2 linked regions of the Tribolium castaneum genome follow. The protein of the gene in region 1 interacts with the protein of each later gene in a pairwise test. Links are inferred from orthologs where the notes say so. Each region holds a gene or a part of one and is shown on either strand. Other genes may lie near its edges.

The links.
Region 2: the proteins of alpha- and gamma-adaptin-binding protein p34 (region 1) and AP-2sigma interact in binary tests that used the Homo sapiens proteins (3 or more experiments, as listed by UniProt). The link is inferred for Tribolium castaneum from reciprocal best matches to the Homo sapiens genes AAGAB and AP2S1.

The regions. Positions count from the first base shown.
Region 1 is NC_087402.1:2,419,681-2,423,303, forward strand, and holds alpha- and gamma-adaptin-binding protein p34, read right to left. Parts: upstream 1,774-3,623; coding exon 1,003-1,773; 3' UTR 908-1,002; downstream 1-907. Other genes in the region: nclb (periodic tryptophan protein 1 homolog), read left to right, coding at 2,073-2,162, 2,209-2,267, 2,318-2,397, 2,452-2,625, 2,675-3,268, 3,314-3,589. UniProt on the Homo sapiens protein: May be involved in endocytic recycling of growth factor receptors such as EGFR.
Region 2 is NC_087396.1:14,083,939-14,087,510, reverse strand, and holds AP-2sigma (AP-2 complex subunit sigma), read right to left. Parts: upstream 1,938-3,572; 5' UTR 1,804-1,937; coding exon 1,801-1,803; intron 1,721-1,800; coding exon 1,571-1,720; intron 1,529-1,570; coding exon 1,253-1,528; 3' UTR 1,060-1,252; downstream 1-1,059. Other genes in the region: Trax (translin-associated protein X), read left to right, coding at 2,014-2,029, 2,077-2,296, 2,347-2,750, 2,933-3,117; uncharacterized protein LOC103313709, read right to left, coding at 3,155-3,199, 3,246-3,381. UniProt on the Homo sapiens protein: Component of the adaptor protein complex 2 (AP-2). Adaptor protein complexes function in protein transport via transport vesicles in different membrane traffic pathways.

The DNA.
Region 1 (3,623 bases):
TTTTTTTGGTTTTTCATTGAACTATTCTTCTAGTCTGAGCGCAAAAAGTATTGTAAGAAAGTCTGTGGTACCCATTGAATAATAAAATATTTGTGCAATTTTTATGTAGTACGAAATAAAACTATTGTACAAATCGAACGTCTTTATTTTATTAAAAAAATACTCCAAGGCACATGAATAAAAAACTGTTACATAAACTACACACCTATAAACTAAATCTGTGACGCTTCCTGTCTCAATTCCTGTGAGAAAGCCGGCAAGCTTCGCAATTTCTTGGCGATGGCGAGTCCCAACTCCCCTGAATTCTTCGTGGGGCTCATAATGAGGCGTCTCCTGAGTTTCGGGTTTAAACTGGGGCGTTTCGGCAACGTCTCAACGGACTTTTCCTTGGCCGTTTTCCTTGCGGGGGTCCTGTCTTGATCCACTGGCGACCAAATGATGGGTTTTCTCCTGGGTCCTCTTTGAATAATTACCATTTCGTCGGCACTGGCGTTTTTATTGGGCGTTTCGTGATTGGCTTCATTAAAGTGGATTTCGGTTAAAGCCAGTCGGGCTGAACGGCGGGGCTCAACCCTTTCGTCTTCTTCGGCCATTTTGGGGGTTCAAAAATGACTATTTTAGTGATGTTCTTGGAAAAACGCCCGAGTCCCGAGTTAACCTCACAGGACCATCGTTTCCCGGGCGCGCTAATTTTCCCTCTATTTTTTGGACACGCGGACTCAACGGCTTCTCCCCACCACCCAAGTGGTGGCCTCTATCAGCTGATTCAACAGGTGGTGTTTGTTTGGGAAGACAGCTGATAGGGGAGCAGGAAAAAATAAAAAACCGTTTCATTTTACATTTCATCTGACAGTTATTATTGTTATAACCCCAAAAGTTACAGACATGTCAAATAGTCACAGCACACTCTGACGTAAATTTATTTATTAAATAACGATACAATACGTAATATTTTAATTTGTAATTATTTTATAATATTTTAATTAAATGCAATGGAATAATTTACACATCTGCAATCTCCTCTTCATCTCCCCCAATTGCGCGCCAAAACGCCGTGACCACCTGCTCGGCGCACTGTTTCCTCTGATTCATCGGCAAAGACTGCAAACTCTCCTTCATCATGCTTAATTGTGCGAATAAATCGCTAAAATCATCGCTTCCTTCACTTGTAAGAAACTCCTCACACAACTCGACCACACTGTCGTTTTTCTTCTGATTTTTCACGCTCAAGTCGTTTTTCTCTTGGTTTTTCATATTCAGATTGGACCAAGTGTGGGTCTGGAGGGCTTCAATAACCCTTTCAACACCAATTTTTTCCTCTATTATGTCCTGGTCGCAGGTTTGCGATCCTGGGTACAGTTCTATTAATTCAAAGCCGTGCTTTAAACACCATTCTGTAGCGGCAGCTTTGGTGATTTTCGTCTCGTTGGTACAGTAATTTGCGATTAGGAGTTTGATCTCGGGATCGCAGTCTTCTTGTAAACTGGACCACATTTCTAAGTCCTTTAAACCATTTTCCTTGTTTGTGTCTATGTGGATTACTAGAGCCTCGACGTTGTCATTAAATGCCTGACTTCTTTCGTGGTGTTCTGTTATCCCAATTACATCAACTTCGGCGGTATAATATTTGGTATCGATTGTCCAAGTGTGGACGATCTTGGTAGAGTCAAGGGGGTCCTCTTGGATGTCCGCACATTTCGTTATGAGCTTAATTAACGACTTTGGCTTAGTACTACTGCTACTAACGATAACCACACTCGGTTTTGCACTCATTTTGACAAAAAACTATTTTTAATCTTCTGTTTGACAAGTGTCAAAGTTTTAATTGAGGTTGTGTTTTTATAACCACAAAAACAATAACATTTTGACTAAATACAAAAAGGCTGGCCCTCGTGTTAGGCTAACGGTACACACAAAAAATACAATTTTTTGATTAACTCATATACTCATATTTAGTCAAGTTTCTTTAAAAAATTGCCGAAAACATACAAACTGAGGTTATTTTTTATAACCTTAAATACATTCGACACGTGTGTTTGACACCTAGCTCGTTTTACTAAAATTTTGGCTAAATGGAAGAAAACGACACCGAAAATCGAGTTAATTTCATCACTTGCGTCAAGTGGGTGAAGAAAGGAGTGGCAAAAAGCCAACCCGAAAAGGTAATCTACAAAATACAGTAACCTCGCTCATGACTCGGTTTTTTAGGTCCAATTGTCCAAAGCCGAGCTCGTACAAGTCATAAAAGCCACAAAAAAGAAACTTCGGTACGTATTCGAGTTTTTGTTACTTGTCACCAATCAGTTTTTTAAAACAGAGTCACAAATGAGGAAAATGCTCAAGGTGAATCATCGGCTCAAGATGAGTTCAATTTGGAAAATTATGACGAACAAGACGGTAACTGAACTTAGTGTTACGACACCGTTACGTTACGTGACTTTTTTTTATTAGAAGGCACCGCTGAGGCTTTGGGGATAAGTTCACTGGCTGATTTACAAAATAATGAGGAAGAAAACTTCTCTGAATCAGACGATTCGGACAAAGAAGACGAAGTTATCAAACCTAACGATAATTTAATTCTAGTTGGACATGTGGAAGGTGACGCAAGTTCGCTAGAAGTGTACAGTAAGTACTGTACTTGAATTAAAACCAACAAAAAAATAATTATTCCAAGTTTACAACGAGGAGGAAGAATCACTTTACGTCCACCACGATATCTTACTTCCCGCCTTTCCACTTTGTTTCGAATGGTTGGACTACGAACCCAACGCCCCAAAAGGCAGTTACTGTGCTATAGGTTCCATGACCCCCATTATCCAAGTCTGGGACTTGGACATAATTAACTGCATAGAACCCGCGTTTAATTTAGGCCGAGCCGCAAGTATTAAAAAAAACCGACCTCACGTCGGCCACAAAGACGCAGTTTTAACTTTGGCTTGGAACAAAACCTACGAACACGTCTTAGCTAGCGGTTCAGTTGACAAAACTATACTTTTGTGGGACTTGGAGAACAAAACTCCAAGTACGACCATTTCCGCGTTCAAAGACAAGGTCCAGTGCATGCAGTGGCACAAACTGGAAGCGCAAACTTTACTAGCTGGGTCTAGCGACAAGAAAGCAAAAATTTTCGATTGTCGCAACCCTGAGACACATCAGACGTGGAAAATAAATGGGGAGGTTGAAACTCTGGTCTGGAACCCGCTACAACCGTTTTCATTTTTCGCCGGTAGTGATACCGGAAATTTGCAATATTTTGATTGTAGAAAAGGTAGTGAGTTTTTAGTAAAATTCAGTCGATAAAATCGAGATTTAGGTCAAGTGTGGGCTGTTGAAGCCCATGAAAAGGAAGTCACTGGGTTGGTTGTGAGTCCGCAATGTCCCGGTTTATTAGTCACATCGTCGCCAGATGGGACGATAAAAATTTGGGACTACACCGAAAATGAAGCCACTTTCGTGTTCGAAAAAGATTTTAGTTTAGGGACAGTCCAGTGCCTGGATTTGTCGCCCGATTTGCCGTTTGTCATAGCGGCAGGAGGGGATAATAAATCTAATAATTTTCTAGTTCACGATTTGAGAAACATCGATGTTGGTACGTTGCCCATTTTTGGTAATTAGTAGTTGGT
Region 2 (3,572 bases), on another chromosome or scaffold:
AAAAATAAAAATAGAATTTAGTTTTCAACGGCCGCAAATGTACATAATAATATGTATACTGACAAGCATCTTGCAGCTTTTTCCTAGCTCTACCATTTTTTTTTCTTTCAAAAGTATTTTATTTCAAATAAATAAGGTGAAAGGGTTTGTGATTACGGTTCTCTCAATAAGCAGTCTTTTTTGATAACTCCATGTGTACCCTGTGATTTCAAATAACGTAGCGCTTAGCCACAGCTTAGCAGCTTACTGCACTCTGGCAGGAGCTTTCAGAACTGCTTAAAGGCAGTTCTGAAAAATTTTGCACGGATTGGAAGGTGTGAGATCTAACTGCCATTATTATTATTTACAGTAATTTACTTGTTCTAAGTAGTTATTTATAAGTAAATGTTTTTTTTGGTTTATAAACCAAAATGCCCAAAATCTATTTCAAAATCGTTCGCAACACAAATTGTATTCTTGGTTGCAAGTCGAGGATGAACATAGAGATTTGCATTTTCATATCTTCTGACGAACCACCAACGACTATGTGGGGGTAAAGAAAAAGTAAGCAGGAGAAAGCTCTTGGAAGTATTATTGATGAAGAAAGAAGTTTCTCCAAAAATAAGAGTTTGTTCGCTTCATTTCAGAAAAGATTACCTTCCCAAGAGTAAGTACCTTTACCATAACTGCATGGTAAGTCCAAAGAACTTGGTTAAGATGAGAGTACTCTTGACCACGTTTTTATTTAGTTTAACGAAATGATGTAAGAATTATTTCATGTATTAATTGTTGAATAAGATTCAGCAGCAATTGTAAAAAAGGCGAGACTTAAAAAAACTGCAGTTCCATCACTTAATCTCCCTAACGTGGAGACAAAATTATCAAGCAGAAACAGAAAACGCATGCGAAGTATTCCAGAAGGCATTTTAGATGAAGAAGACGTAACTGTTGCCCGTAACAGTTGAGGCATAATAGAAAATGCCAAATTTCACAAGGTAAAACTTGAAGCTTTTATTAACTTTTATATTTGAACACCAGCATTTATACACTTCTATACTTACAATAAATAAAAATTCGGAATGTATTTATATTGTTCATGTTGGCTCTTCATACATAATTCATAATTAAATCAATAAGAAATTTACACTTCAGATATACACCCAATCTTGCCGATATTTTCTAACTTAAACAACGGTCCTGCATTTAAACATATACACAAAAACAGGAATGGCATAAAATAAGATTCTACAATATGATATCGTTTTTGATAAAATTATTCAAGTGAGTTCAACATTAGCAACTGCTTGAGTACTTTGGTCTGGGACGTCTCCCTGATTTCGCCCGCCAGGAACATCTCGTCAACAACGGTATACACTTTGTAAAAATTAAAAACGAGGTCTAGCTCACAAACATTGTGAAAATATTCATTGAGTACTTCAACAAAGTTATGTATTGCTTCCAAGTAGCACAAGTTATTGTCGTTCACGTCGACGCATATGCAAAAGTAGAGGCCGGCGTATCGACGGTAGACAATCTTGAAGTTGCGGAACTACAAAAAGGCATCATTCAAGCCCCCATTTGGACAACTCACCTCAACAAAATTTGTGTGTTTCGCGTCGCGAACTGTGACCACGGCGTGCACCTCCTCTATCAGTTTCTGCTTCTCGTCGTCGTCGAAGTTCATGTACCATTTAGCTAGACGTGTTTTACCCGCCCGGTTTTGGATTAATATAAAACGAATCTGGGAGTCAAACAATTGGTTAGAATCGATTAAGCTTGTCGAGAACAATTCACAAACGTAGTACAACACCAGTAACTCACCATTTTTTAAATTTCTGATAATAATTCGGCAGGTTTTGTTATTTAATTGAACAAAACCTCCTCCCAACGAGTCAGATAACAATTTTTTGGGGCACTTCTAGGGATTTTAGGTGTCACTGTCAGTCTGACAGTGATAATTGAGGTTAGGAGTGTCCATAAATTAATTTGATTCTTCTTGAATGTATTTTTTTATGTAAACATTTAAGTCTTATCATGTCGCGAAATAGAAGTATGTTGGAAATATTAACTTTCATTCATGACATTGTTGAACTTTAGATTCAAGACATGGTAAATCGAAAATTACAGTTGGCGAAAAGGGGCGCCAAGTGCTGGAAAATATTGACGAGAATAACCGTGTAATTAAGATGTTTCTTGGATTTCGGAAAGAACTGGATGAGAAACACGACCGTTACGAAAAAATTGTAAAACTGAGTCGAGATATTACAATCGAAAACAAGCGTATCATTTTCTTGCTACATTCTACAAACACTGATATGTATGATTGTTGTTGTTTATAATCTGTTTTAATAGTCTAAACAATTGTAGAGAAGGGAAAAGAGAAGCTGTCTTGGATGAAGCTTGCAAAAGACTGAAAGTTATAACAGATGAGAATTTTAAAACTATAGCTTCAATTCTCAAAGATTTTGATTCTTATCAATATCAGAAGGCTTACACAAGTGGCCTACAGGAATTTATTGAAGCCTTGGTTTTTTATCAGTTCCTGCATTCCAATAAAATTGAAAGTTGGGAGTCTATCAATAAATTTTTCCAGTATGAGCAAGATGGTGAAAAATTCAGTCTTTTATTTCCACAGCTTGATTTCATATTAGGAATTGCGGATTTTACGGGAGAATTAATGAGACGTTGCATTAACAATTTGGGAGTAGGAAATGTGAGCGACTGTTTCAAAACTTGTAATTTTGTGAAAGATATCTACACAGGGTTTTTAGGTAAGTTCTAACTCAAAAATTAGGTAGAAAAATTATTTTTCTGGAATCGGCCGTAAAATAGGGGAAATACTCCACAGTATACTTGACTGTAATGTTGGTTGCCTATCTGTGTTGATTAAAAAAAAACCAAGAATAAAAGTGTATTTGTGTAAAAAAATATACAAAATGTTATTTTATTCTAGGCATTATAAATCCAGGAGCTAAAGAAATGGGTCGTAAAACATACGTTCTGAAACAAAGCCTGGCTAAAATGGAACTTGTGTGTTACAATATACAAATAAGAGGATCTGAAATTCCAAAACACATGTTGGTCAACGTTATTGAATCTAGTGACATGAACACTGAAGAAGATGAGGGTTTTTACTGAGTCTCTTAATTTACACAATAGTTTGTAAGCACAAATTTTAAGTTATTATTTTTTTAAGTTTGTCACAACTTTTGAAGCATAACTGGAAATAAAAAATTGATTATTTATCTTGTTTTAATAACCCTCACCTGAATATCACATTTCATAAACACCTGATCTTTATCAGGGAATTTAAAGGACGGCATGTCTGTATACAGAAAGCATTTCAGGCTGCTTCCTTTAAGTTTGTCACTTTTATACCATTTATCTATAAGTTTGCGTTTCCTAAAATAAAAAGTTGGTTGTATATGCATCGTGATTATAATAAAAAACGTAGCCAAGAGGGCCCCGCAAATTTTAAATTGATCAATTTTTAGTTGTCTTTTTTAAATAAACTAAAAAAAATGTTTTTTTTACATGAGACAACGTTCATGAAATTTGCAAAGCACTTTTCACCATGTTTTTATTTATACTCA